Linked DNA regions of Stegostoma tigrinum. The protein of the gene in region 2 purifies or fractionates together with the protein of the main gene of each other region. This does not show direct contact. Links are inferred from orthologs where the notes say so. Each region holds a gene or a part of one and is shown on either strand. Other genes may lie near its edges.

What was found.
Region 1: the proteins of adrb2a (region 2) and arrestin domain-containing protein 3 purify together in Homo sapiens (affinity purification with western blotting; 6 studies listed by BioGRID and IntAct, with this or other methods). This does not show direct contact. The link is inferred for Stegostoma tigrinum from reciprocal best matches to the Homo sapiens genes ADRB2 and ARRDC3.
Region 3: the proteins of adrb2a (region 2) and usp33 purify together in Homo sapiens (affinity purification with western blotting; 3 studies listed by BioGRID and IntAct, with this or other methods). This does not show direct contact. The link is inferred for Stegostoma tigrinum from reciprocal best matches to the Homo sapiens genes ADRB2 and USP33.

What each region holds. Positions count from the first base shown.
Region 1 is NC_081356.1:92,343,914-92,354,002, forward strand, and holds the start of arrestin domain-containing protein 3, read left to right. Parts: upstream 1-5,444; 5' UTR 5,445-5,698; coding exon 5,699-5,978; intron 5,979-9,700; coding exon 9,701-9,782; intron 9,783-10,089. UniProt on the Homo sapiens protein: Adapter protein that plays a role in regulating cell-surface expression of adrenergic receptors and probably also other G protein-coupled receptors.
Region 2 is NC_081366.1:51,362,205-51,372,269, forward strand, and holds adrb2a (adrenoceptor beta 2, surface a), read left to right. Parts: upstream 1-5,607; 5' UTR 5,608-5,878; coding exon 5,879-7,132; 3' UTR 7,133-8,450; downstream 8,451-10,065. UniProt on the Homo sapiens protein: Beta-adrenergic receptors mediate the catecholamine-induced activation of adenylate cyclase through the action of G proteins. The beta-2-adrenergic receptor binds epinephrine with an approximately 30-fold greater affinity than it does norepinephrine.
Region 3 is NC_081361.1:92,423,312-92,434,258, forward strand, and holds the start of usp33 (ubiquitin carboxyl-terminal hydrolase 33), read right to left. Parts: upstream 4,901-10,947; 5' UTR 4,795-4,900; intron 1-4,794. UniProt on the Homo sapiens protein: Deubiquitinating enzyme involved in various processes such as centrosome duplication, cellular migration and beta-2 adrenergic receptor/ADRB2 recycling.

The DNA.
Region 1 (10,089 bases), on a different chromosome or scaffold from region 2:
GCCATTTAAATCATGGCTGATGGGCATTTCAACAGCACTTCCCTGCACTGTCCCCATAGCCCTTGATTCCTTTTGAGATCAAGAATTTGTCAATCTCTGCCTTGAAGGCATCCAATGTCCCGGCCTCCACTGCACTCTGCGGCAATGAATTCCACAAGCCCAACACTCTCTGGCTGAAGAAATGTCGTCTCATTTCAGTTTTAAATTTAGCCCCTCTAATTTTAAGGCTGTGCCCACGGGTCCTAGTCTCCCCGCCTGACGGAAACAACTTCCTAGCGTCCACCCCTTCTAAACCATACATTATCTTGTAAGTTTCTATGAGATCTCCCCTCAACCTTCTAAACTCTAATGAGTACAATCCCAGGATCCTCAGCCGTTCATAATACGCTAAACCAACCATTCCAGGGATCATCCATGTGAATCTCCGCTGGACACGCTCCAGGGCTAGTATGTCCTTCCTGAGGTGTAGGGCCCAAAATTGGACACAGTATTCTAAATGGGGCCTAACTAGAGCCTTATAAAGCATCAGAAGCACATCTCTGCTTTTATATTCCAACCCTCTTGAGATAAATGACAATATTACATTCGCTTTCTTAATTACGGACTCTACATGCAAGTTAACCTTTCGAGAATCCTGGACCAACACTCCCAGATCCCTTTGCACTTCTGATTTACAAATTTTCTCACTGTTTAGAAAATAGTCCATACCTGTATTCTTTTTTCCAAAGTGCAAAACCTCACAGTTACTCACATTGAATTTCATCAGCCATTTCCTGGACCACTCTCCTAAACTGTCTAAATCTTTCTGCAGCTTCCCCACCTCCTCAGTACTACCTGCCTGTCCACCTATCTTCGTATCATTGGCAAACTTCGCCAGAATGCCCCCAGTCCCTTCATCCAGATCGTTAATATATAAGGTGAACAGCTGTGGCCCCAACACTGAATCCTGCAGGACACCACTCGTCACCGGTTGCCATTCCGAGAAAGAGCCTTTTATCCCAACTCTCTGCCTTCTGTCAGCCAATCCTCAATCCAAGCCAGTAGCTCACCTCGAACACCATGGGCCCTCACCTTGCTCAGCAGCCTCCCGTGAGGCACTATATGAAAGGCCTTTTGGAAGTCTGGATAGATAACATCTACTGGGTTTCCCTGGTCTAACATACTTGTTACATCTTCAAAGAATTCTAACAGGTTTTTCAGGCACGACCTCCCCTTACTAAAACCATGCTGACTTGTTTCAATCTGACCCTGCACTTCCAGGAATTTAGAAATCTCATGCTTGACAATGGATTCTAGAATTTTACCAACTGCCGAGGTTAGGCTAATCAGCCTCTAATTTTCCATCTTTTGCCTTGATCCTTTCTTAAACAAGGGAGTTACAACAGCAATTTTCCAATCATCTGGGACTTTCCCTGACTCCAGTGACTTTTGAAAGATCACGACCAAAGCCTCCGCTATTTCCTCAGCCACCTCCCTCAGAACTCTAGGATGTAGCCCATCGGGGCCAGGAGGTTAATCAATTTTTTGGACCCTTTAGCTTTTCTCGCACTTTCTCTATTGTAATGCCTACCGTACTCAACTCTGCCCCCTGGCTCTCCCTAATTGTTGGCATACTACTCACATCTTCCACTGTGAAGACTGACGCAAAACACAAAGGCCATCAGGCAGTGGTTAGCACGTAGAATTCTCGAGACCCTTCGGGAAAAGGAGAGGTTGGATCCTGTCGTGTGGTTCCCCACGCAGACTGCCAAAGTCGTTTGGCAGAATGCCTCATCGCCAAAACTTTCAAACAAGCACAAGGACATTGCTTGGCTGGCGGTGAGAGGGGCTCTGCCAGTGAGATCCTTTATGCATGCCCGGAATCTCTGCGCCACCGCACGCTGCCCTTGAGGCGGCTGCCGGGGGGGACGAGACTGTCTATCACCTCCTTCTGGAGTGTGCCTATGCGCAGGAGGTCTGGAGGGGGATGCAGTGGTATTTGTTGAGGTTCGTCCCGAGCAGCTCCGTGACACAGGACTCCGTGCTCTACGGGCTGTTTCCCGGGACGCACACCGAGGCCAACATCAACTGCGCCTGGAGGACCATCAATGCAGGGAAAGATGCTCTTTGGTCTGCCCGCAACTTGCTGGTCTGCCAGGTGAAAGAACTGACCCCAACCGAGTATTGCAGACTGGCACACTCCAAGGTCCAGGACTATGTGCTGAGGGACGCGCTCAAGCTTGGGGCAGCCGCTGCCAAGGCACTGTGGGGAAAGACCACCGTATGAAACCCCTCGTCCAGAATAGAAACAAGGGCCCTATCTGATAACTGGGCCCAGCTGGTGCCTTCCCCAACTGGTCAGGGGGCCAACGGGGGCTGTGCGGGGAGACGACTGCCGGGGTATTTTCTTTGCTTTGTTTTTTTTCTTTGTTTTGTTTTTTCCTTTAGTTGGTGTACGTACCCCCTGGGTAACCTGGAGCGGCTTGCATGACTGGGTAGGTGTATAAATGTTTTACTTTTTGTACATTCTATGAATAAAGTGTATTTTTTCAAATTAAAAAAAAGCGACAAAACGTCTGAAAACAAACCTTCCAGCTCAGCGAGCAAACTTACATCCAGTGCAAGGAATTCCCAGGAGGATGCCCTAGACCAAATACCTTCGGCTACACTTTTAATGAGCTTCTTCCTACCATAAAATCAGAACTGGGAATGGTTATTGATGAGTACACAGTGTTCAAAACCATTCATGACCCCACAAATATTGATGCAATCTGTCTATGTGCAGCAAGGCTTGAATAGTCCTGCTTGGGCTGAGAAGTGGAAGAAACACTCCCCACAGCTACAAGGCAATGTCCTTCTCCAACAAGAAAGAATCTAATTGTCTCCCCTTCGCATTCAATGGCATTACCATTGCTAACTGCATCACTTCTGAACATCCGATGGGTTATCATTGACTAGAAACTGAACAAGCCATATAAATACAAGACCAGGTTAGAGTCAAGGAATTGTATAGAAGATTAGTCACTTCCTGTCTCTACAACACCTGTCTACCACCTGCAAGGCACATGTCAGGAGTGTGATAGAATACACTCCACTTCTTTGCATAAAGCTCCAACAACAATTGTGAAACTCAACACCAAAAGCAACTTGTTTGAATGGTACACTTCTACCACCATCAACATTCATTCCCTCCACCAACAATGCAGCAGCAGCACTGTGTACCACCTCAGAGATGCACTGCATTAATTCACCAAGGTTCCTTTGAAAGCATGATCAAAACCTGCAAACTGTACACCCTGGACAACAGCAGGAATCTGCTTGGATGCACCGTCATCTGCAAGTTCCCCTCAAGCACATGCCATCCTGACTTGGAAATACATTGTCATTCCTTCACTCTTGCTGGGTCAAAATCCTGGAACTCCCTTCCTAACAGCCATTGTGATGTCCCTAATCACATGGATTGTTGCAGTTCAAAAAGGTGACTCTGCCATTTTCTCAAATTGTGGGGATAGGCAAAAAATGCTGGCTGGGCTAGTGATGTCCAAGTCCATTAAAAAAACACCAAATGTAGATATTTTCCACGCAATCTGTTCTGAGATGTTGTCACACTTGTTACCCCAGGTTTGTCAAGTGCCTAATTGAGGTGATTAAGGTGAATAACAGATTTGATAGAGAAGTTGGAGTTAGTTAAACTATTTTCCCTTAGTGAAGAAAAGGGAATAATGAAGGGTCTAGGCCCGAAACGTCAGCTTTTGCCATCCTGAGATACTGCTTGGCCTGCTGTGTTCATCCAGCTTCACACCTTGTTACCCTAATAGCCGTTAATGTTGCACAACTGACAATTCCACAATTGACACTTGTGGATTTTCGTTGGGCAGAGTAACTGAGGATTTATGGAACCACATCGAGTAGCTAGAATAACGATACAAACCAGCCGTCATCAGGTTGAAGATAATAAAATGTGAGGCTGGATGAACACGGCAGGCCAAGCAGCATCTCAGGAGCACAAAAGCTGACGTTTCGGGCCTACACCTTTCAGCAGAGAGGGGGATGGGGAGAGGGAACTGGAATAAATAGGGAGAGAGGGGGAGGCGGACCGAAGATGGAGAGTAAAGAAGATAGGTGGAGAGAGTATAGGTGGGGAGGTAGGGAGGGGATAGGTCAGTCCAGGGAAGACGGACAGGTCAAGGAGGTGCGGCTTGGAGTGGGAGGAAGGGATGGCTGAGAGGAAGAACCGGTTAGGGAGGCAGAGACAGGTTGGACTGGTTTTGGGATGCAGTGGGTCGGGGGGAAGAGCTGGGCTGGTTGTGTGGTGCAGTGGGGGGAGGGGACGAACTGGGCTGGTTTGGGGATGCAGTAGGGGAAGGGGAGATTTTGAAACTGGTGAAGTCCACATTGATACCATATGGCTGCAGGGTTCCCAGGCAGAATATGAGTTGCTGTTCCTGCAACCTTCGGGTGGCATCATTGTGGCAGTGCAGGAGTCAGATTGAATGCCGTTACAGGCTTCAGTTTGAAGGTCCTTATTCCTACTTCTACGTCATGTTTAAAAAGTCGTCAAAACGCAATCTTTACATTTCGCCGATAAATCATGGAGCCTCAAGAAAGATTTACATTGTGAAAATATTTTTAAAGAGACATCAATATTGCGTGGATTGCTTATTTCGGGGCAGTAGCTGAAATGTTGAAAGCGAGTGAAAGACGTGAATGTATAAAAGTTCAAAATAGATGTGGAAAAGAAATGACATATGTGCGAGGTAAAACAGAAGACGGAGAAACGTTAGAATGCTGTGATAAATCGAACGGATGTTAAGTCGGGGATAAAGGAAATTAAGTTACAAGTAAAAAGTAACAGGCTGTCTTCATCCAGCTCTACATCTTGTTATCTCTAAAAAGTACCCCTAAGTAGTTGTAAATTTGGAATTGGCTATTACATGAAATAGCCACACGGTGTCGACAAGGTGTAGAAGACTGACGAGAGGAGGATTATACACCGAATATTACTTGGGTGCAACAATTGCAACAACCGCTATTATTATTTTGTATTGTGCTTCAGCGACGGTTATGTCTATTTTAATGTGCAGAATAAAGCCTTCAAAATCTATTGCTACCGCACGGACGAATAATGCAACATGAGTGCGGCAGATGCATGCGACGTGACCCATGTGTTACTGCAACAAACCGGGGAGTGGCGCTAATTCGAATGCTCGCCTTGTGCATTGAATTGATGGAATTAATGACCTTTTGTAATCGCGTTAGTACAAAAAATGCCTGCGGCACGATAGACTGCGAATTCTGATATTATATATATGTATATTTTTAATGGTGCAAATAAAAAACATGTATTTTATATGTTTGTCTCTGTGCTACTAGTCTACTTTAAGGGGGAATGACCTCAATCAGCTGTTGATCAGCTGGCACTGGCTCTAGACTCAAGGCGGAAGCAGGGTGAATCATGCACAGGCGCACTGGAGTTGTTTTTCACAAAAACCGTTTTAAGTGAGGTGGTAGGTATGATATCCCCGTCTTTTGTACAGACCAAAAGCTGGGCAACAGCATCTCTAACTGTCCAAATCCAGATGCTCCTTTTTAATATTGCAGTGGTCGTGCCTGCTGTTTTTGCAGCAAAAGGCACTGATCAGTGGTGAAGATCCCACTTTTCAGATTTTTTTTGTACTTTTTTTATAGTCACGTATATCTACATAGATTATAAATAACCATGGTGCTGGGAAAGGTGAAGAGTTTTACAATAAGCTATGACTGTCCTAATGATAACAATATACCCGTCTATGCCAGCGGAGATTCTGTCTCTGGACGGGTAATTATAGAAGTTACTGGTGAAATCAGGGCGAGATCTCTTGCAATCCATGCGAGGGGACAGGCGAAAGTACGCTGGACAGAATCGAGAAACGCTGGTTCTAATACTGCCTATACTCAGAACTACACTGAAGAAGTAGAGTATTTCAGCCACAAAGACCTTTTAATCGGGCATGATAGAGGTAAGCTTGGAACTGGAACAAATAATCTTTCTGATCTGAGAGTTTGTTTTGTTTAAAGTCTTTGTGCAGCTTACTGTAACCCTACTGTAAAATGTGAGCAATGGAGATCAGATTGTACGACCAATTTAGAAGTGCAATTTTAATGTTATAAAACGTTATTAGTTATTATAAGTATTAAGATAAAGGAGTTAAAATTTCATTTGACATAACTTCATAGATGTAAAAGTTCGGTATCCTGTCACTCACCTTTCACTGCCAATTTGTTTGCCAATGAGTGGTGAGATTTTACATAGGGTGGTTAGCAATGGTTTCAAACAAATTTCGTGACAATATTTTGCCGATTTTCGAAATTGCAGTAATTCTACTGCACCGATTTATAGGGTTTAACTCCTTTCTTCCTGTTCAGGACCGTCATTTTGTAATATGCAAAAGAAATCCAAACGATTGCACTGTTGAATTTCTAGTGACAGTTTCATCCATCCAAGCGTTTTTTTCTTTGCAATTCAGATTTGAAACCAAATGTCTAAATTACAATAGAAAATAAATGCCTGACTGCCCTTTCAATAATTGCAGTAATGTGTGTGCAGTGACTTCCAGACCAAGTCTTTGAATTTACAGTCCAAAAATGTTCGAAAACTCGTTATTTTTAAAAGGAAAAACTTATTCAAATAATTTCTAAATCGATACAATGGGGCCATTTAATCTAAATTTGATGTGCTATGTGGCTTACAGCAACATTATTCGACCCATCACTTAGAGGTGTCATTGACATTAAATTGATTATATATAGATTTCTGCAGTGACATCGCTTGTCTCAATATTATATTTGTAAACTTATATATTTAACAATTGCAAATTTACTGTATATTCAGTAACATTCAAAAAAGGTTAGTTGTTTTCCTAAGTTTCCACCCTTTGTTCAAAGCGGTTCAATCCTGTTTGGGACAAGCATTAGGGGGGAGGGAGGGGGAATGTGAGTCTTCTCTTCGCTCATTGGTTTACACCGTCAGATGGTGAGGATGACTTAATGCTATTTTGCAGAAAAACAATTTGCAACAGCTGCTTTGCACCTTCGTAATATATGTATATTACCAATAAAAATATATTTTTTTCCTTGAAATGACCTTTTTCCACACCGGTGTGTGGGTATAGGTGTAATACCGTATCAATTCAATTTGCAAATCTTCTATGAAATTGCGTTATTTCAATCTACTTTCATGGATACGGAAAAGAATGAGCCCCTGGCATGTTTTTTTTCAGTACATATTTACATCAACCTTAAATATTCCGGAGGAGGATCGATCAGCGGATTAAGAATACAGTTGTGCTTATTTGTCTTAACCTTGCTGAGTGAAAAGGCAGAGATGTTCACTTTATTTCTAGTTTCTTCAAACAGATATTTTTGAGATTCTACAATCTGCACAGTACATCGTGTAAATGATGTGCAGTCGCCATTTATTCATTGCAAAATGGTAGAAATTGTAATACAATGAAGTTTGGCGTGCTGTGTCTTACCAAGTTTTCTGTCGTTTAGCTTGGCTTTGTTGCAATTGCTCCTCCCCGACGTGCCGATTGGTTCCTCTGTTTGTTAGACTGTTGCTAAGGCGCCGTTAACTTTAGATTGGCCAGTGGAGCTGTCTATCACCTATCGTTTGTTCTGCTTCAGTGATCGACTCTTGCAAAAAAAATCTTTTAAGAGTTCATGGTCTTATAAAAAGGGTGGATTTAGTAAAGCAGGGACGTGGCAGGAATGCATCATTATTTAGAACGTGTATAATCGATGTCATTTTATTTCTGAGAACAGTGGCAACGTTAAATCTCCCCTTTTGATGAACATTGTAGTCAATCGTATGTGCGATTCTCAAGCCCTTAAAATAAGAGGCCGAAGCAACAATTTAAGTCCAAATGACAACACAACAATTTTCTTTTTTTAAAAAAATTCTAAAAAATCCTTTTTCTACGTGTGTGCGTTGAGAATGGGTTGCATTTATGGATCGCCTGGTGTGTGTCCAGCCCCTCCCTTCCATTGCTCTTGTTTCCCCCCTCTCTCCCTCCCTCTATGAGCAGACTAGGCTGGGCTGGGCTCTGCTGCTGCTGATGAATACCATGTGGTTGCGGCTGAGCTGGGCTGTTCGCTCCGGTTCAGGCCGGCTCTCTCCGCTGTCTGCCTGCTGCTGATTGACAGCTCACTACTTGTTTACCGCTTCACTGCAAAGCTGAGCGTGCTGAGCTGGCAGAAAAAGGGGAGAGGGAGAAATAGGCAGAACCTCATGGAGGAAAATAAAGTTGCACAAGAAATCGTTACAAATAATGTTGTATTATGTTGCAATTTTTTTAGATTCAACATTATTCTTAAATTTATTTTTAACCATGACAATGCTATGGATAGAAATTGATCTTCAAATTGCACCGTGTAAGGATTTCGAACGTTTCTAGTGATTTAACAGTTTATTTTAGAAAAAAGGCACTAATCCCTATTAAAACATTAGATTTTAATTTCCCTAATTTTATGGGGAGGGTGTTCCAATTTCAGTAGACAGGTGCAGTGTTTTAAATGATGCTGTCGGTGAAGAGACCCCAGCATCAGGTTGCTGTCGTTTGTCAGGAAATCCATGACTTGGCATAGAAATGGGCTCGAGGTAGTTGGACAGTCACGTCATTGCGGAGAATAAAGAAGGTCAGATTGTTTATCCTTAAAATAAAAGCCCCAAAGGCTCAACTGTAGCTGTGCAAGGGTGGAGCAGCTCGGTCTTTGCAGCTTTTGATAGGACCACTTCAAACAACGCTGGTGATCGCCTAGTAACAATCAACCTTAACTGTACCTTCGCCATTTCCTGGAGGAGTAATGTGTTTATTGCTAGGAACCAACAGAAGAAATTGTTAACTGCGTTATTTTAATTTTTTATAGGCAGCAACAAAACCATTACCTTTTGTTCTGCAGTCTCCAACTCGAACTTCAAGTACTGGAGTGTTAGACTTTAAAACAAAATGTTGATCTACATTGAGACTTGGTATACATATGACTTTTCTGCTAACAAATATTATATAATTGACTTTTAATTGCTGCAGCCTATCTATTTCATCATTCAATAAAAAAATTGGCCTTTTTCATTCCAGGAGCACTCTAGTATGCTGCTCAATTGTATCAACAGCTCTCAAACAAGTCTGCCTTGGTAACTGGGAATAATGAACAATAAATGGCAGATTTGCAAACAACACCCACGTAGTCATTGAGAGATACAGCGCAGAAACAGATCCTTCGGTCCAACTCATCCATGCTGACCAGCTATCCTGTATAAATCTAGTCCCATTTGGCCCATATCCCTGTTAAACTCTTCCTATTCATGTACCCATTCAGGTGCCTTTTAAATGTTGTAATCATATCATTCTAAAAGTTTATTTTTAAAAATGGAAGGTTTGGCTATTTGTACAGTTTGTTAAGAGTAGAGCAAGATAGCCTCCACAAAGTGCATGTTGAAGTCTACAAATGTTCCTCTTGTACTGCGCCAGTTACTTGTATTGCGTTAACATCTTGAGTATTAAAGTTGTACAGAAGTTGCATAAGTGTTCTATTCCCCTAAATTGGACCTGTCAAAAACAGACATTGATGTGTTACAAATTAAATTGTTGATACATTGGACACCAGCTCTTATCAATTGGCATGTGTTGGCTGCATGACTCAAAATTATTTGTTTGCTACTCCAGTGTTTTATTTTTTTCAGATGATGATGATTCTGAAGAAGGTCTCACCACTATACCTTCAGGCAAACATGAATACCCATTCAGCTTTGAGCTTCCACAGATGTAAGATTTGCATTTTTCTTGTATCAGTCTGATTCATTGCTCGGAGTACTTTATTTAAATGTGTGTATAATTGTTGGGTTATGTCACAGATCTTCTTATTTGGGATTCCCTGATTGCTTGTTCAAAGCCCATTTTACCTGGATGAGATTGTTCTAAAGAAACTTTTATTGAGCCCATTTCATCATGTTCTTCCACACCAACAGTTCTAATATGTTGCTAACACACAATTTTTTTTTCATGTGTCCATTTCTGGCATATTCTTTCTAGTCACCCCTTTCACGTAATCCTCTCAGCCTAGAAATTCATA
Region 2 (10,065 bases):
GGAGAAAGGCATTAGGTTACAGGAGGTAAGTAGATTGATTAGATGGGCAGATTAGTGGCAGATGGAATTTAACCCTGATAAATGTGAGATTATGCACTTTTGAAGAAGGAATAGCACAAGAGAATGTGCACTGACAGACATGAGGAAGCTTAGAGGAATCTTGGCACGCTTGCACACAGGTCCCTAAAGGTGGCAAGAAAGGTTAATGGGGTCGTTAAGAAAGCATACAGGACACTTGACTTTATCAATGACAGCGTAGGTTATAAGAGCAGGAAGGTTATGTTACAGCTGTTTTGGTACAGAATTTTGGTTCGGCCACAGCTGGAGTACTGTGTGTAGTTCTGGTCACCACGTTATAGGAAGGATGTGATTGCACTGGAGGGGGTGTGAAGGAGATTTAGCTGGATGAAGCCTGAGACACAGCAGATGAACTATGAAGAGTATTAGGATAAGCTTGGTTATTTTTGGAGCAGAGAAGTGAGGAGGGACATAATTGAAGTGTTTGAGTCTGTGAGGGGCGTAAGCAGTGTGGATGGAAAGTTGCTATTCCCCTCACTTGAAAGGTCAACAAAGGGACATAATTTTAAAGGGACAGGCAGGAGGTTTACGATGATTTAAGTAAAAACTTTTTCACCGAGACCATGGTGGTAGTCTGGAATGCATTACATGGGGTGTTAATTAAGTCTGGAAACCTCACAACCTTTTAAAAACTACACTTGAGGTGTGATCACATTCAAGACTAAGGGGCCTAGTGTGGTAAAATGGGACTCGTGTAGGTAGTAGAGCATTTCTGGCAGCACGGACATGAAAGCTCAAAGTGTTTCTTCTGTACTGTATCATTCTATGATTTTTATGATTCTAGGAGGCCCCTTAAGCCTGCTCTGCCAATCAGTAAGATCATGACTGCTCTGATTATTCCACCTTTCCACCTATCTCTGATAATCCTTCATATCTTGATTTAACAAGAATCTATCTACCTCTGCCTTACAAGAAGGTCCAACCACTCCTTCCAGCTTTTGAGGAAGAGAATTCAAAAGGCTCACAATCTCCTGGAGAAAAAAATTCTCCTACTCTCTGTCGTAAATGTGGACCCCCTTTATTTTTAAACAGTGACCTCTGGCACCAGCTGAGATTATACATAGGACTCTCCTTCTCAATCTCTTCCCCTCGCCTGGGCATGATAGCCCTGAGGCTAGTCCACCACTGGTTGTCTCTCTAATAAAAGAGGAGTCCAAAGGTCTGTCAAAACTTTCCTTTATTGGTCGTTGCATTGAGTAAAAACATTGCAGCTGTACAGGATATTGGTAAGGCTACTTTTGGACTTCTGCATTTAGTTCTGGTCTCCCTGCTATGAGAAAGATGTCGTTAAACTTGAAAGAGTTCAGAAAAGATTTACAAGGACGTTGCTGGGGTTGGAGGGCTTGAGGTATAGGGAGAGGCTGAATAGGTTGGGGCTAATTTTTGTGGAGTGTCAGAGGCTGAGGCACAACCTTATAGAGCCAAGATCTTTTTCCCAGAGTAAGGAAGTCCAAAACCAGAGGGAATAATTTTATAAACATATAAAGAGTGGAAAGATATAAAAGGGAACTATGGGGCAATTTTTCATTCAGAGGGTGGTGTGGTGTGTGTGTGAAATGCACTGCCAGAGGAAGTGATGGAAGGTGGTACAAATACAACATTTAAAAGGCAGCTGGATGGGTACATGAATAGGAGTGGTTTGGAGGGATATCGGCCAAGCTCTGGCAAATGGAACTAGATTAATAGATAACAAAGTGTGAAGCTGGATGAACACAGCAGGCCAAGCAGCATCTCGGAGACGCTGCTTGGCCTGCTGTGTTAATCCAGCTTCACACTTTGTTATCTTGGATTCTCCAGCATCTGCAGTTCCCATTATCTCTGGAACTAGATTAATGTAGGGTATCTGGTCAGCCTGGATGAGCTGGACCAAAGGGTGTGTTTCCATACCATATAACTTTATAACTAATTACGGAGACTTTATCTTTTGAGTTGCGGAACATCCCAGAAGAGGAAGCATCCTTTACACACAGACCCTGTCACGATCCCTCAGGATTTTACGTTTCAACCTACTTGACTTTTAGCCTTCTCAGCTCCTGGAGTCTGTCCGAACTTTCCTCGTTAAACAACCCACTCATTCCAAGCATTAGTCTAGTAAACTTGTTTTTTCCCCTTGCTTATCTATCTAATGCCCTTGTTTACAGAGCCAAACATCATACTAATTTGAAATACTATCAACTTCAAACACGCTGATTTGCGTGGAAAGCCTGACGCCTTCCTGACATTTTTTCTTAATACAAACTTGTTTCGTTTTATCACGCAAAGCAAAATGAATAGCTAGCGACAGCATTTTAATCTACCTGTTTTCTAAAAGACGTAACATGCGTGACACTTTATTTCGGTGCGAACGTCAGCCTTTTATAATTAGAACGAAGTATAAATAGCCATTAATTGATTTATAAATATCCTGGAACTGTTCTAGCCCTTTTAAAGATCAGACCGGTTTGGCTACAGAAATCTGTACTGGAGATTTCGGAGCAATTCCTCCATTTGATTCATTAATTTGGGGCACTGTGCAGTTCTACAATGTGCTTTAAGGCACATTAACTTTTTGTTTGCTGGCGGAACTCGGATCTCTCCGCATCTTGTGTTACCTCATTAAACACTACTTACGTAGGATTTTTTTGTTTGTTTTTTGAGTTAATTAATTACCATTACCATTCCCTTCTGTTTGTTTTCTCATCAAAAGATGCCCTGCCGCTTTAGGATCAAATTACGTACCAATTTCTCGTGTTAGTATTGGATAACATCATATGAAATCTACACCAAGGCTAATGTAAAAATAATTTTCAATTTCCCATTCACCATCTCCTTCGGCATACAAGCAAATGTGATAACTGAAATCAACCATCTACATTTATGGAGAAACGTAACAGTCCCAATGCTTTCAATTGTAGCAACCCACTGAACAGACTTGGGAAGCGAGAGGCACTTGTAGATTCTCCAGCGTCATTGAGCAGACGTTAGTTGAAAATGACTTGTGTTCATCTGACCTAATGCAACCTTGACGCTTATAAGTGCCCAACTTCTCTTTAATATATTGTACTTTTTCCAGAGATATGTACAGGCTCGCGTCCTACTTTACCACTTGTACCATTTCAGGATTTTGATTTAACCGGGCGACCCTAATATCGATTTCGGTGTCGATCTCTGCGAGAAGCTTTGTTTGCCAACGACGAGCGATATCTCAAACGGAGACATGAAGAGATGGTCACGCTGAGAGTGTCACCTCTTCAGAGCCGGGAACGTCATTAGCTTCTTTTGCCTTGACATCATTTGGATCCTCTACGTTGTTCCCCGAGGGTAGCGGAGGTGCTTGGCGTTGGGGCTATACACATCGGTCACTTAGTCCGAAGCTATCTGAATGGATTGCGTTTTCTCATTCCCATTCCTGACAACAGCCGCAGATATTTGATACCCAAAGTGGGATATTGTGACGGAGGGCTAAAATATAACCGGGTTGGTGCCCATTGATTATAATGTCGAATTGCTCTGGTATCTCCCACAGAATCAATTAAACCTCTGCCACAAAAAGGTTAACATAGTGTCAACGTATTTACTTTTCGAATCCTCTAACTGGATATTAAATGTCTGAGATAATGGGAACTGCAGATGCTGGAGAATCCAAGATGATACAGCGTGAGGCTGGATGAACACAGCAGGCCAAGCAGCATCTCAGGAGCACAAAAGCTGACGTTTCGGGCCTAGACCCTTCATCAGAGGGTCTAGGCCCGAAATGTCTGCATTTGTTATGGAACATTGTGTAAACGATATGTAAACGGTTAATCCAGAACATGCAGTTACATTGCAAATATTACAGGAGACTAGAGGTTAGAACTAGTGAAAAGCAAAGTTAGAACTGACATCGGAAGCGTTTGTTCATTCGGATGGACCAGTGTACGCACCTCGTGGAAAATAGAGAACGATTTGGATTCCATACAGAAGAGATATTTGGGGTCAGTTGAGTGGATGAACTGAGACAAAAATGAAACTGCTACTAAGTAACCAGGCACTACTTCCCTGCTTATCCTTCCATTACTGTTAGGAGATATTTAACGGTCACACGAAAGCACACTTGTCATCCAAACTTCTAACCTCGTTCAACATAATTATGCTGGAACCTTCTGAGATGATTAGATCCTGAACTGACTCAGAGGCGCAAATGTTACATAATAACCCAAGCTGACGACAATATTTTGATTTACTTTAGGATATAATCCATTACTTCAAATTGTAGCTAATTTTGGTTTAAAAATTATATTCACCGAGGTAGTTTCTTGGGAATGTCAGTAGGGTATATTTTTCCAGGGAACATGCTATTAAGTATATTGCCACAGTAAATATTTTAATAAAACATCAGATACCAAGAGAGACAGTTTCAATTGACATCCTTTGAACGTACATATGCAAATAATGCATCAGCCCAGCGAGATCGTACACTTAACCATTGGAGCGATTGTCTCCCTGGAAATCAAAATGTTTTGGAGAATTCAGCATTTAGATAAAATAAGTCGGCAACGTAGAACAATTCGCGCTGTTCTAGAAATCTCGCGAAGTATTACAGTTATGCGTGTCCAACAACAGTTTGCATTTATTTTGTGCAGTTAACATAGTGTAAAATGGTCTAATGCGCTTACCACAACGAACATCGAACTTGTGGAGATGGAAACATATCTGAAAGCTTTCAGGACAGGCACAACAGAGAAAGAAAGCAAAACTTCCGTTTTGTCTGGAGGAGGCGATAACTCTGCCAATGTGCAGAAATAAATGGGAGGCACACCTTTTTGCACTGTGTTTGTGATGGCAAGTCTGCTGGCCCATCACTGTGGGCAGTGAAATAAAGCCTGGTGTATGTCCCTAACCGGAATGTAGAGTTTGGGTCAGGTTTGATTCATGACCGAGCGGTCCCGGTTCAGCGTATAGCCTCAAGTGGCAAAGTGAGTGTTGACTACAGTTAGTGTGTGAAGCTCCGTGTGTGTGCGCGCGTGTGCCTAGCCGGCGTAAGAGAAGTCAGGAAGTCTGCACTGAGCCTACCTCCACTGCTTACCCGTCACATTTCAGAACAGGAATATCGTCTTCAGGAAAAGAAGAAAAAAAAAACAATGCGCGACTTCATTCGAGGGGAGGGTGAAATTGAAGCCGGGAGGTCTCGATTCGAGTAGCAGAATCCCAGTAAACTTCAGATTGGGAGTACGCGCTGTCAGAAGCTTTGGAGGGTGGGGGTGGGGTGGGGGGGGAAGTCAGACTTCAGCGTCTGTGTTCCTTGCGCTGTGATGGTGAGAATCTGGCACGAATGCTGGTTTCTGCAGAGAATTTCTCAAGCCTAGAATTTTTTTAAAAAGTGGCAATTTACTATAAAAGTATGTCTTTTTTGTGATTGACAAATGGCTACTTCTCCCATTTATATGAATAGCCCCGAATCCTGTATCCTTTCTGAATACTGTGAAGTTGAGTTACTGAGCCCCAGTGGTGGTCGGACTGACGGGGAACACGCCACTTGTGTCTAATACTTGGAGGTAAATAGTGCAGCTAACGATGGGTGCAGGCTTCGAGGTTTGAAGCTGCAGGTAGACGGCGATTGGTTGTGAAAGATTATGACGTTCCGCCCCCCTTGGGCGCTATATAGAAGCGAAAAGGAAGGAGCGCTCAAACAGAATCCACAAAGCGGAGTTCTGCAACGAACGGGCGAGAGAGAGAGAGAGAGAGAGAGAGAGAGGGCTAAGTGGCCGGCTGTAGAGTCACCGAGTGATATGAGTGTGAGGAGAAGGGAGAGCTGCTGGCATTATGTGCAGCGCCGCTGAGAATGGGCTCGCAGGAGAGTAGCTCAGAGAGCAGTGTCTATTTCCCACTGAGCCCCTACATGCTGAACAGCAGCGCAGCTCCGGGGAGCGAGAGCGCGGTCACCCGCAAGGAGCTGAGCCCGGCCTGGAAGATCATTGTCAGTATCGTCATGTCGGTCATGGTGCTGGTGATCGTGTTCGGTAATGTGCTGGTGATCACGGCAATTGCCCGCTTCCAGCGGCTGCAGACGGTCACCAACTATTTCATCACGTCGCTGGCCTGTGCAGACTTGGTGATGGGGCTGATCGTTGTCCCGTTCGGTGGGGTCCGCAGTATCACCGGCGTCTGGTACTTTGAAAACTTCTGGTGCGACTTCTGGACCTCGCTGGATGTTCTGTGCGTGACGGCGAGTATTGGCACCCTGTGTGTGATCGCCCTGGACCGCTACCTGGCCATTACCTCGCCTTTCCGCTACCAAACGCTGCTGACCAAGTGCAAAGCGCGGCTGGTGGTGCTCCTAGTGTGGATGGTAGCGGCTCTCACTTCCTTCCTGCCCATCTACATGGGCTGGTGGAGGCTGGATGACCCGGACTCCCAGAAATGTTACACCGACCCCAGGTGTTGCGAGTTCCTCACCAACAAAGAGTTCGCCATCTCCTCTTCCATTGTATCCTTCTACCTGCCCCTGCTCGTCATGGTCTTCCTCTATACCCGGGTCTTTCAGGAAGCCAGGCAGCAGCTGAAGAAGATCAACAAGTACCAGGGTCGCTTCCACAATCTCAACAACAACTTGAACCAGCCTGCCCCTTCTGTGAATGGCAAAGCTGCCAAACAGGGGCAGAAAAGGACGCCCAGGTTTCTCAATCTGAAGGAGCACAAAGCTCTGAAGACGCTGGGGATTATAATGGGCGTCTTCACCCTCTGCTGGCTGCCCTTCTTCGTGGTGAATATCGTCAATGTCATTTTTAAGGACAGCATCTCCAACACCGTGTTCATTTTCCTGAACTGGGTGGGCTATTCCAACTCGGCCTTTAACCCGCTCATATACTGCCGCAGTTCGGATTTCAGGCATGCCTTCAAGACGGTGCTGTGGGGCTGCCGGGGCTCGCTGCCGTCCACCCACCACAGCAGTTATCCCAATGACAACCCCGTGCCGAGCGAGGATCGCCTGACGAACGGTCTGCCCTGCAGCTTCGAAGGAGCGGCGCCCGCAGCTGCGAACTGCAGCCCCCAGCCCGATGGCAATGAACACAGGCTCCTAGATTCGGTCATATAGCGGCGGCTAACCGACACCCACACAACTAGTGGAACTCAGCAACAGGGGGCACACGAACTTGACACTGAGTAAGACGAGATGTTCCAGCTCGATTCCGCTTGTACTTTTCATGCATTCGCCTACCTCATAACTCAGTGAACGCAATGCAAGGACGTTGTGGTGAAAGTGTGTGAACCCCCAGCCCGCCCCGCGGGAGATGTAAGCCAGCTCAGTAAAACAGAAGGACAATTCTTGAATGTTGCTACATGAGCATTAACGGAGTGTTTAAATGTTTACAACTCGCATGACGCCTATTATATAAAGGCCATGTCGACCTTACTGAAAGCATTTTTGCGCCCTCTTTACCCCCTTGGATGCTCACTGGCACACCATTTTAGAAGGGATTGTGATCTATATCACAAAACATCAGGCGATTTATTCGGCTGAAGAAGGGATCTCAAAGAAGGATTGTTGAGTGCAGTTGCTGGAAACATTGGAGTCAAATAGTCAGTACAGTAGCTGTTAGACAGTGAGAAAAGAGATGTGCATTGCGGTCACTAAGTAGCGAGATCGCCCAACTTCCTCCCAACAAAGAGAAATGAGTGGGATGTCTGTATATGAGGAGGAGGAAGGGTCCAGTCTATCCGATTTCTCAAAGTTAGATGTCCAACGGGTTTGCAACTGCGTGCGCGCAGTTCGAGTTAGGAAACACCCCACCCCTTCCCATTCCTCATCCACGCATTTTCATAAAATAGAAAACAAACGTGTGTGCTCATTTGCCGGCGCGTTCACATTTTGTGTCTGTACTTGTACTGTGGTGTGTTCGTTGTGACCTTTAAGTGCGTAACTGTATTTTGCAATGTTGCACTTTTTCGAGTCAAACAGTGCTGAAGCTCAGTCTAGGCCCGAAACGTCAGCTTTTGTGCTCCTGAGATGCTGCTTGGCCTGCTGTGTTCATCCAGCCTCACATTTTATTATCTTGGAATTCTCCAGCATCTGCAGTTCCCATTATCGCTGTAGCTCTTCTGGACGTTTCTCTTTGCAATGAAGGTGAGGCTTGTCGTTTTCCATTCCCCGCCCCCCATACGTTTCGCAGATAGAGACTGCGTGGTTTCACGTGAATAAGTGTCGAACAACAACAAGAAAAACTTTTTTTAATAGTAAATAATTACCTTGTACCAATGTCAGTCAAAAGCTATCCTACTGAAATGTTAACCTGAGCTTTCTGTGGCATTGTCTAGTTCCTGAGTCCGGGTATTGGAATTTTCCTGTACGCCAACGCTTGGAGCGGATCTTTGTGGGATTATGTGCAATAAATGCTCGTGATTTCGGCGCTGAACAGGCATGGGGCAGTTCAATGTTTACTTGATTTCTGGGTCGATATATTTTCGCACAACGTCAAAACAAAACAGTTATTTTGGATTTTCATATGAATTCAGGTAATTAAGAAACGAAACAATTTTGGATATTTATTATTTAGAATCAATATTGGCTGTCTATTCGTGTACAAATAAAACTTTATATCTTCAAATCACTTTCATTGCGTGATTTTAGCTTAATTTAAAACAAAGTATTCGTAGCTAAACTTATCGTCACTACGTTTCTTTGTCATCAAAATCCGCCGACTTCCAATAGCTCGGACTATATATAATCTTAGATTTTGCCCCCATCTTTTGGACGAAAAGTTTGGATAAATTACATAGCAGCTGGTAGTTAGTTATTACTGCGTTAGAAAACAGGCCAGTTTCGTTAACTGGTAGAAACTGTTCAGACTTCACAATAAATGCAACCTTCTCACCAATATGTTTGTTTTTGTAATTATTTATCGCAGGCTTATTTTACGACTTTGGATTTCAGGTCTTTGTGAAAACAGAATGTTCCTGTGCGGGTGGTCCCATTGTTCCTTTTAAAGAAATTAATACTAAATAAAAGAGGGCGGACTGAGTAGCCTGGATCTTGCGGCTGTTCTTGAGATTGCAAATTTACTTACAGATTTCTTACAGTTATTACATTTATAAGTATATGAATAAGAAATGTTTGGAGGGATATGGGCCAAGCTCAGGCAGGTCGGACTAGTTTAATTTAGGATTATGGTTAGCATGGATTGGTTGGACTGAAAAGTCTGTTTCAACGCTGTGTAACACTATGACGCCAGTAGAAGTTAACAAGATACCTTACTTTTTTTTCTCCTTAAAATGTATTTTGCAATGTACTTTTACAAATGCTATTGAACAAAGTGTGTGGATGTGAAAATTAGTGGCATAAAATCTCAAAACAACCTCAGTTTCACATTGAGGTGCCTCAATACAATTGTAAAGCTTTTGATATTTACGCTACACAGTCCATTTCAAACCTATATTGCATTACACTTTGACAAGTTACATATTCCAAAAAATGCAATAGAATTCAACTGTTCTTGATGTAGCATGTTTAAAACATGAACTATTAGTGAATTTTTACAGCAGGTTGATAGGATTTCCTCCTACCCAAAAGATTCTCCCACTTTCCAGTGCCTGAGTCCAGATATTAATACTTATTCTCCATTAGAAGCTTTTGGAAATAAAATCCAGGGTCGTTATTTTGAGATAGGTGTAACAACTAACAAACTGCTTTTGACTGTGGCAGTAATTTTTGGATACCTGGATATCTCAGCAATCTGGACTACATATGCAGGACTTTCATAGAATGCTGAATTGCTGGTTTTACCAGTTTCCTTAAGCAATGTAATCAATTGCAGATAATTTAGCTGTATTTTAACAGAATAGCATTTTAATGCTTAAAGCAGATGCTTAGTGGGACTCATTTTTGTGCTACACAGGTTCTAGCTTCTGCTCATATTGACTTTCTTGTGACATATACTTGGTCTTTGAACAAAGCATTTCCACTGTAAAGATATAATCATAGTGTGAATATATAGTTTTCCTAAAAACTGGCTCAGATATTTGCACAATTAA
Region 3 (10,947 bases), on a different chromosome or scaffold from region 2:
AAAAGGCCGATAAATCTCCAATATGCAACTCCAAATTAAAACATAATTTGAGATATTATGGGCATTAAAAAAAATAGACAAGGAATAAAATTCTGAAGATCAAAAGTATGGTTCCTAAGAGTAGATTAAATTCTGTCTCATTTTGTTTTGATGACACACTATTGACGATAAAGTGATTGTTCTTCATTTCAATAATTGATTGGATAGATCCAGGTCTTGTTCAAATTATTTTAAGGTTTCCTCAGTTTCTTTTTTTTTCAGCGACATGAAGCGAGATGTTTTCATCTGAATGTCTCTGGCTTTTCTGAACTTAAACTGTTGCAAATTGTTGATGGACCAATCTGAGGGGTGTCTTTCATGAATTCAAAAATTCCTGGTGCCTCAGACTCAACAACGTATGAATCTCGTTGCAACAGTAGCATCTCCTTGCACATACAAAGATGTTCACCACATGATTTTTCCAAGTTACAAATTCTTCTGGTATTTTAGCTTTATATCATTTGCAACTTCTATTCCAGTTAATGGTCCAAAAATATGGCCCTCTACATTGCAACCATACTTCTTCACTTGGAACATCTGAATGTTTAGAGATTGTGAAGGGAGTAGTGTCCATGCTTCCAAAATATTAACTTGGAAGTTAACTAAAGTGCACAGAAAATAGAAGCGACCCCCGTAAGTATTTTAAATACAATATCTAACTTACATTTATCTTGCACATTCAATGCTCAGACAACATCTCAAGGTGCCTCACAGGAACAAAATCCAAGAAGAATGAACAGAGTCAAACAGAAAAATATTATGATAGTTGATTAAAAGCTTGGTCAAAGGTATAGGTTTTTTGTAGCATTTTAATAGAGAGGGAGGTACAGCATTTAGGGAGGAAATTTCAGAGGTTAAAGCCAAGACAGTGAAAAGCATGGCACCAAGAGAAGAAACAAAAGTGACTGAGGCTGTACAAGAGGCCAAGTTGCAAGAATGCAGTACTCTGAGAGATAAGGAAGAGTAAAGCAATTATACACTGGAGGGATAAACCAAAGCAATGGGTACTCTTGATGCTGTGGAGGGGTATCATGTTTCAGCTAAGGTTAGATTGTGAACCACACTGCAATTTTTCTGCGTGATACAATTTTGGAACCACTTAACACTGATGCTTATGCACAAACATTACTCAATCTTTAGTTAACATAATTAAGCTGAAAAATAATGTGCAGCGTCCCGTGAATATTCACCATCATTAATGTTTTCCAACGTTTAGATTCCTCTGTACCCTGTTACTTCAGGGGTCAGAACAAGATTATAACCAAAGTATATAAATAAGGACGAAATGATCTCCCCAATTTCCAAACATTAATCGCGGAATATGGTCTGCATTATATCCAACTCATGAGAAGTCTACTGTTTATAATTCCAGCAATAGATTGTCCTCATACAAGCTGACTGGCTGAACTATCTGCATGTTACTGAACTACACCAAGATTGACATCCTGATGTGTGCTAGCACAGATGCAATGACAACATTACAACCCCTATTTATGGCATTATCTTCCCCATTTATCTTACTGACTCAGAGTAAGCTTGAGCCTACCCATGTGCCAAAGTCCTGTATTCCTAAAGGGCTCATAATTTTCAATTCACCTTTCTACTTAGCAGCCCACCTATTTTTCTTCATTCATTATCAGAATGGTGGCGTCACTGGCCAGGCAGTATTTATTGCCCATCCCTAATCGCCCAGAGGGTCAACCACATGCTGAGTCACATGTAGGCCAGACCAGGTAAGGAGGGAGGCAAGGAATGGCAGTTTCCTTCTCTAAAGGACATTAGTGAAGCAGATGGGTTTTTCCGGCAATGGATTCTAGGCCATCATTAGATTCCCAATTCCAGACATTTTTACTGAATTCAAATTCCACCAAGTGCCGTAGCGGGATTCAAACCCAGGTCCCAGAACGTTGTGTGGGTTTCTGGATTAACAGTCAAGTGACAATACCACTCAGCCATCACCTTCCCATCCCACAACTGATCCACATTCTCTCCCAGCAGCCAAATGGATGAAATACCTGACATCTGCTGACACCACATTGACATGTATGCCAAAATGAGTTAGCATATTAACTGAGATGGGTGGGGCAGAAAGGATTAGGAAACAATGTACAGCAATTTGATGATCATAACTGCAGCAGCATCTGCTTATGTATAACATCCTCTGTCAGAACTGTGGGATATTTCTCACTTGTTGCTCTTAAACGCTGTCAATTCTGGACATTCAATCTCCACCTCCATTCATTCATAGCTCACTCACAGACCAGGTACTGAACCTGCTATTTTTCACACAAACACTCAGGCTTTGAACACCCAGACTTGTCATTAATTCACCTCAAACTCTCAACCAGGACTATGTAGAAGGACAGTAGGGACACAAGAAAACGGTCAGAGGATTAGATATGATATAATAGATATACAAATTACCCCAACCAGCCCATGCCAATATTAAATTATTGAGTCCCCATCCATCTTTCCACAATTAATATTGTAACCCTCTTCCTCATTTATTTGTCTAGCTTCCCCTCAACTGCAGCCATACTTTGTTTCAACTGTGCCCTCTGCTAACAGCTTCCACATTCTTCATCACATGCTTATACCCTTCCAAGTCATAAACCCTTCAATCTTGGAACCACTCACTGGGTCAAAATTCTGGCCTGATAGAACTGTAGGAGCGCTTTCACCATATGGCCAACTGCAACAGTTCAAGAAAGCATCAATTCGGACTGTATACATTTGGGCTCAGAAGAATGAAAGGAGATCTAATTTAAACACATAGAAGTCTAACTAGGCGACAGAGGCTGAATGCAGGGAGAATGTTTTCCCTGGTTTGGAAGTTCAGAACCAGGGTCACAGTCTCAAGTCACAGGAAAGATCATTCATGATTAAGATAATCAACATGGAGAATTACTGATTCATCGGATGTGGGAAGATGGCACGTAGTTATCAGCAGGATGTTTCCTTGCCCATGTTTCACCTGAAACAGATTCATGGAGTTCGAAGTCAATGTTGAGGACTCCCAGAGCCACCTCCCTCCTAACTGAATGCCACCATGCGGCCACGTCTGCTGGGTATAGCCAGCCAGTGGGACAGGAAATATCTAGGGTTGGTGCTGTGTCTAGAACATTGCACGTAAGGTATGATTCCTTGAGTATGACTATGTCAGGCTGCTGCTTGACTAAACTGTGAGACAGCTCTCCCCGTTTGGCCACTAAAACCCAGAAATAAGGAGAAAAGGACTGAGTTTGCCACTGTCAATTCCAGTTTCTAGGTTGGTGTGGTAGTTCACCAGTTTCATTGCAGTTGAGGCCATTTATCAGACAAAACACATGTGGGGTAATATTGCTACATCTACTCTTAATTTGTGCGTATTTAACTCCCTGGATGTGAGTTTGCTCACTGAACTGAAAGGTTAGTTTTCAGACGTTTCGTCACCATTCTAGGTTACATCATCAGTGAGCCTCTGACGAAGCGGTGGTGTTATGTCCCACTTTCTATTTATTGGTCATTGAATTTAGGAATTGACAGGCATTGAGCAGAAAGGAGTAAGATGAGAAGAAACTTCTTAGACAGTTGAATTTGGAATGTGTTGCCTGGGATAGTGTTGGAGGTGGATTCCATATGAGATTTCAAAAGAGAGCTGGATATTTATTACAAAATGATGAATTTAGAGGGCTGTGAGGCAGAGTTGGAGAATGGGACTAGCTGGATAGCTCTTTCAGGAGCCAATACAGACATGATGGGTTGAGGGGCCTCCTTCTGTACTGTAAAATGCTGTGATTCTATGAAACCATTCTTCACTCAGATTGTCAACCTGGAGAATTTTCAACCACAAAAGGCAGTGGAGGCAAGTCACTGAGTATATTGATTATTATTGATTAGTGTTTTGATATTAAAGGCATTTAGAGTAATGTAGAGAAAACAGGAATATAGTGTTGAAATATAGGATCAGTTGAATGACACAGCAGGATTAAAGGGTTGAATGGCCTACTCCTGCTCCTAGTTTGTGTGTTATGTTTCATTCAGGGGACAGAGTGAGGGGAGCAAACCACATAAAAGAAAAGCATGCCTGTAGCTCTGCAACAAAACAATAATTAATACCTGAGATAACAAGATGTAGAGCTGAATGACCACAGTAGGCCAAGCAGCATCTTACGAGCTTGGCCTGCTGTGTTCAACCAGCTCTACACCTTGTTATCTCAGATCCTCCAGCATCTGCAGTTCTTACTATCTCTGAAATAATTAATACCTCCCAATTTATAACGCCTACCCAGCCTAACAGGGGCAGCCTGCATTCTAGCCCATGGCAACCTGTTGAAATGACAAGTAAATTGGGATATGGGGGGGGTGATGACAAGAGAGTGGGGATTTCATGACCAGGCGGGAGGGTAAAGTTGAGTGATCAGAAGGCTTGGGATGGAGGTGAGGTTGGGGGTATAATGATAACCAGAGTCTTGGGGAGGAGGGGGTGATGGTGTTTGTAGGTGACCAGAGAGGAGGGAGTAGTCAGTTTGTGACCAATCCCGCGGGGCCCGAGTCCCGGCTTGAGCCTGCATCAATCAGCCCTCAGCGGGGCCTAGACAAAGCGGGAGAGGCCACCCTCTGTCCCGGGGCCGACACCTCCACACACGGAGGATCCAGCGCCGCCGGCCAGAGGCCTCAGGCACAGCCCCCAGAAGACACTGTGTAACCGGGAAACGAGGAAGAAGCCTGTCATGCTCAGGGAGAGTTTGCACTCGAAGTACGGTTCTCACTTACCCAATTCCCCGTTCCTCGATCTCATTCAATTCGCCAGCCGCCACCGACTCTCACCCACCCGAACCGAGCGGCTCCAGTCAATCACAAAACCCCGCCCCAAATGGATCCTGTCAATCTCCGAATCCCGCCCCCGAGAGGCTCCAGTCATCCACAAAACCCCGCCCCCAAGTAGATCCTGTCAATCACCGAACCCCGCCCCCGAGAGGCTCCAGTCAACCACAAAACCCCGCCCCCAAGTAGATCCTGTCAATCACCGAACCCCGCCCCCGAGAGGATCCAGTCATCCACAAAACCCCGCCCCCAAATGGATCCTGTCAATCTCCGAATCTCGCCCCCGAGAGGCTCCTGTCAATCACAAATCCCCGCCCCCAACTGGATCCTGTCAGTTTCCGAATCCCGCCCCCGACAGGATCCAGTCAATCACAAAACCCCGCCCCCAACTGGATCCTGTTAATCTCCGAATCCCGCACCCGAGAGGCTCCAGTCAACCACAAAACCCCGCCCCCAAGTAGATCCTGTCAATCACCGAATCCCGCCCCCGAGAGGCTCCAGTCAACCACAAAACCCCGCCCCCAACTGGATCCTGTCAATCTCCGAATCCCGCCCCGAGAGGATCCAGTCATGCACAAAACCCCGCCCCCAACTGGATCCTGTCAATCACCGAATCTCGCCCGCGGGAGGCTCCTGTCAATCACAAAACCCCGCCCCCGGATTGCCCCTGCCAATCTCCGAATCCCGCCCCGAGATGCCCCAATCAACCACCAATGTTCTGGGGACCTGGGTTGTAATTAGGATAATTTTTGTTCACTCAGGGTTTGTGAACCCTTGGAGTTCTCTACCACAGAAGGCTGTGGAAGCTCAATGTTTGAACATATTGAAAGTAAAGGCAAGGTAACATCACCAGAGTCTTACCAGACCAATGTTTAAGGTAGAAATTGTTGCATTTGAACGTGGACTGCTTCAATATCTGAGGAGTCATGAACGGTGCTGAACATTGTGCATCCATAAGCAAACATCCCCATGTCTGATCTTATGATGGAGGGAAGATCATTGATGAAATAGCTGAAGATGATTGGGCCGAGGACACTACTCCGAAGAAGTCGAGATGACTGACCTCCAGCAACTGCCACCATTTTCCTATGTTCCAGGTATATCTCCAATCAGCAGATAATTTGTCCCTGAATCCCATTGATATCAGTTTTGCAGAGGCTTCTTGAGCCTTGGTCAAATGCAGTCTCATTTCTGGAACCCAGCTCTTTTGTCCACATTTGAACCAAGCCTGTAATAAGGTCAGGAGCTGAGTAGCTCTGGTAGAACATAAACTGGGTGTCGGTGAGCAGGTTATTGCTGAGCAGGTGCTGTTTGATATCACTGTTGATGACACCTTCCATCACTTTACTGATAACTAAGAGTAGACAGATGGCATGGTAATTGGCTGGGTTTAATTTCTCCTGCTTTTTATGTACAAGACATAACTGGACAATTTTCCATATTGTTAGGTAGATGCCACTGTTGTGGTTGTATAACAACTTGGCTAGGGGAGCAGCAAGTTCTGGAGCACAAGTCTTCAGTACTATTGCTGGAATGTTGTCAGGTCCATAGCCTTTGCAGTATCCAGTGTCATCGGCTGTTTCTTGATATCACATAGAGTGAATCGTTGGCTGAAGATTGGTATCTGTAATGCTGGGGACCACTGAAGGAGACCGAGGTGGATCATCCACTCAGCACTTCTGGCCGAAGATTGCTGCGAATCCTTCAGCCTTATCTTTTGCACTGATGTGTTGTGCTTCTCCATCATATTTGTGGAGCTTCCTCCTCCAGTGAGTCATTTATTTGTCCACCATCATTCACAGCTGGATGTGGCAGGTCTGCAGAGCTTAGATCTGACCTGTCCATTGTAGGACTGCTCAGCTCTGCCCATCGCTTACTGCTTTCACTGTTTGGTGCACAAATAGTCCTGTGTTGTAGCTTCACCAGGTTGATACCTTATCTTCAGGTATGCCTGGTGCTGCTCCTGGCATGCCCTCCTGCACTCTCCATTGAACCAGGGTGGATTCCCTGGCTTGATGGTAATGGTTGAGTGGGGGATATGCTGGGCCATGAGGTTACAGATTAAGCTGGAGTACGATAAGAATTAGAATCCCTACAGTGTGGAAACAGGCCCTTTGGACCATCAAGTCCACACCGAACTTCAGTGCATCCCATCCCAGACCCTATAACCCACCTAAGCCACACATACTGAACACTATGGGCAATTTAGCATGGCCAATCCACCTAAACTGCACATCTTTTGGACTGTGGGAGGAAACCCGTGCAGACACGGGGAGAATGTGCAAACTCAGACAGACATCCAAGGCCAGAATCGAACCTGGGTCCCTGGTGCTGTGAGGCAGCAGTGTTAACATGGTGCCACCCCAATTCTGCTGCTATTGTTGGCCCACAGTGCCTTATGGATGCCTGGTCTTCAGTTGCTACATCTTTTTAAAGTCTGTCCCATTTAGCATGGTGACAGTGCCACACAACACAATGGAGTGTATTCTCAATGTGAAGGTGGGACTTTTTCTCCACGATGAGTGTGCAATGGTCACTCTTACCAACAGTGTCGTGGACAGATGCATCTGCAGCTGGCATACCAGTAAGGTTGAGGTCAAGTATGTTATTCCTTCTTGTTGGTTCCCTCACCACCTGCCACAGGCCCAGTCTAGTAACTGTCCTTTAAGACTCGACCAACTTGCTCAGTGATGCTGCTGCCAAGCCGCTCTTGAAATCCTGAAATCCCCACCCACATTCTGTGCTTTTGCCATCCTCAGTGCTTCCTTTAGGTGTTGTTCAACATAGAGGAGTATTGATTCATCAGTTGGGAGAGGATGGTACGTGATAAGGAGCTGGAGGTTTCCTTGCCCATGTTTAACTTGAAACCATGACACATTGTGAGGTCTGGAGTCAATGTTAAGGATTCCCAGAGCAACCACCTCCCAATTGTATACCACAGTGCTGCCACCTCTGCTGTGTCTGTCCTGCCGGTGAGAAAGGACATATTCAGGGATGGTGATGGTGATGTCTGGGACATTGTCTGTAAGGTATGATTCTATGAGTATGACTATGTCAGGATGTTGTTTGTCTAGTCTGTGAGACAGCTATCCCAGTTTTGTCATTAGCTCCCAGGGGAATTTGCAGGGTCAACAGGACTGTTTTTGCTGTAGTCTCTTCGTGGCCTTGGTTAATGCCAGATGATCCATCTGGATTCATTTCTTTGAGAATTCATAGTGATTGATATTAACGGAGTGGCTTGCTTGGTTATTTCAGGGGGATGGTGAGATCCGGCCATATTGCTGTGGGTCAGGAGTTACATGTAGGCCAGACCTAAAATACATTGAGTCAGATGGGTTTTTCCAACAATGGTTTCATGGTGATCATAAGATTCCTAAATTAGAATTAGATTCTTAATTCCAAATATTTTCGTTGAATTTAAATTCCACCATCTGCCATGACAAGATATAAACCCAGGTCCCCAGAACATTTGCTGAGTTTCTGGATTAATACTCCAGTGAAAATACCACTCGGCCACCGTCTCCCTTACTTTGAAAATAAGGGGTCTTTTCAGACCTCTCTTTTCCAGAAGGGCATGGGGGCTGGATATTTAAATTTATTTGGAGGCCAAGTTTGACTTTTTTTTATTAGACAAAAGACGGTTAAAGGATGCAGATAGGAAAGTACAGCTGAGACCAAAACCAGTTCAGACATGAACAAAAACAGAAGTTGCTGGAAAAGCTCAACAGGTCTGGCAGCATCTGTGAAGAAAAAAAATCAGACCCGGACCCGAAACGTTAACTCTGATTTTTTTCCTTCACAGATGCTGCCAGACCTGCCGAGCTTTTCCAGCAATTTCTGCTTTTGTTCATGATTAACAGCATCTGCAGTTCTTTTGGTTTTTATTGAGTTCAGCCATGAGCTTATTGAATGGTGTAGCAGGCTTGAAGGGCCAAATGGCCTTTTCCTGTCACTAAGTCCCAAAGTTCCCAGCACTGATTCCTTCTACCAATGCTGCAGCAATTACAGTGAGTTGAACTATCACCTGGAGACATCGCAACAACTTACAAGACTCTTTCAATATCACTTCTGAACCCTTATTTTTGGTAATAATCTTAATTGAATGTCTTCTAATTACTGCACATGTAATTAAACATACCAAAGTCTCTCATAATTTTGAATACCTACATCAACTATCTTCTAAATTTCCATTGTTTTTAGAGCTACAGGGGTCACTGTTTAAATATAAGCAGTCAAGCCCCAGAAGGAGAAATCTTTTCTCTCAGTGGCCCTGAGTATTTGGAATTCTATTCTTGAAAAACTGGTGGAAGCAGAGTCTTTGAATACTATTCTTTCAGAAACTGATAATATTCTTGATGAGAACAGGGTGCAAAGTAATCAAAGTTAGGCCAGAATCAGATCATCCATGATGGTTAGAATCGTGGAGCAGGTTAAGGGGCTGAGTGGCCACCTCAAACTCCTAAGCTGTATGCTCTTTAATCAGATATTCCCAGTCTTTTTCACCAAAAATATATTTTTTTTGTCACTGATATAAATGATTTGGATGTGAAAATAGGAGAAATGGTTAGTAAGTTAGCAGACGAGGGTAGGGCACTCCAACATTAGAGGGCATAGGCTTAAGATGAGAGGGGAATTATTTAATAGGGACCCCTTTTTCACACAGAGGGTGGTGCATGTGAGCTGCCAGAGGAAATGGCAGAGGCTGGTACAATTGCAACATTTAAAAGGCATCTGGTTGGGTGCATGAATAGAGGGATATGGGTGAAATGCTGGCAAATGGGACTATATTAATTTAGGATATCTGGTCGACATGGACAAGTTTGACTGAAGGATCTGTTTCCATGCTGTACATCTCTATTACTCTGTGACTGTAATCCACTAGATAACTTTAGTGCACCCTTTCCATCCCTTCTCCAAATCCTTTCCATCTGTTGAGGTTGGTTGGCTCACTGGGTTGGTTTGTTGTTCCACAGACATTTCGTTACTGTGCTTGGTAATGGACAGGACAAATGTCATCTACAAGATCCCCTGCAGAGACTGCGAGAAACACTACATCGGACAAACAGGAAGGAAACTAACAAGAGAACATGAGCACCAACTGGCTACAAAAAGACACGACCGATACTCACTCATCTCAATCCACATGGACAAGGAGAACCATGACTTCGACCAAGATCCCGGGACAGGCTAGGCAGAGACAAGCGCGAGAATTCCTGGAAACATGGCACTCCACGAAGCAGGCTATTAATAAACACATTGAATTTGACCCCATATACATTCCGCTACGTAGGACATCTGGAAGTGAGGCAATCCATCGCAATGGACCCCAGAGTTTAAAAGCCAGGCAGGAAAACACACCGATGCTTCATCAGAGGCTGCACTGAGGATGTTACCCAGCACGGTAACGAAACGTCTACAGAACAACAAACCAGCTCGGCAAGACAACCAACCTCACCCCCACAACCCAAGCTACAAATCTACTCCAAAACCTTAGAGATCCTTCACATGTTTCCCAAATAAGCTACTAAAAACAGACACTGCAGCCTAACCAATGATTTAATTAGTTTTAGCATTTACACTCCAATAATCAGTCATAGCGTTTGAGACCCCTTTGGTCCATCATGTCTGTGTTAGTTATCAATTACCTATCTATTCTAGTCCTACTTTCCAGCACTTGGTCCATAGCCAAGTGTTCTATGATGCTTCAAGTGACCATTTAAACCCTTCCTAAATGTAATGTTAGTTCCACCCTCTACCACCCTTTCAGGCAGTGAGTTTCAGACTCCCACGACCTTCTAGGTGAAAATATCATCCTTAAGTCCCCTCTAAACTTCTCAGTCCCCTGGTTATTAATCCCTCTACTAAGGGGAAATGTTTCTTCCTATTTATGTCCCACATAATTTTGTACACTTCAATCAAATTGCTCCCTCAGCCTTCTCTGCTCTAAAGGAAACACTGCAGCCTATCTAAGGCAGTGTGTTGTCAATGATTTCATCTTGCTTTACAGTCAAAATACATTTATGTAGAAATAATACCTAGATAGAACTGTATGTTTCCTCTAGTATATAAGATATGTTAGCACAACAAGATATAAAACACATG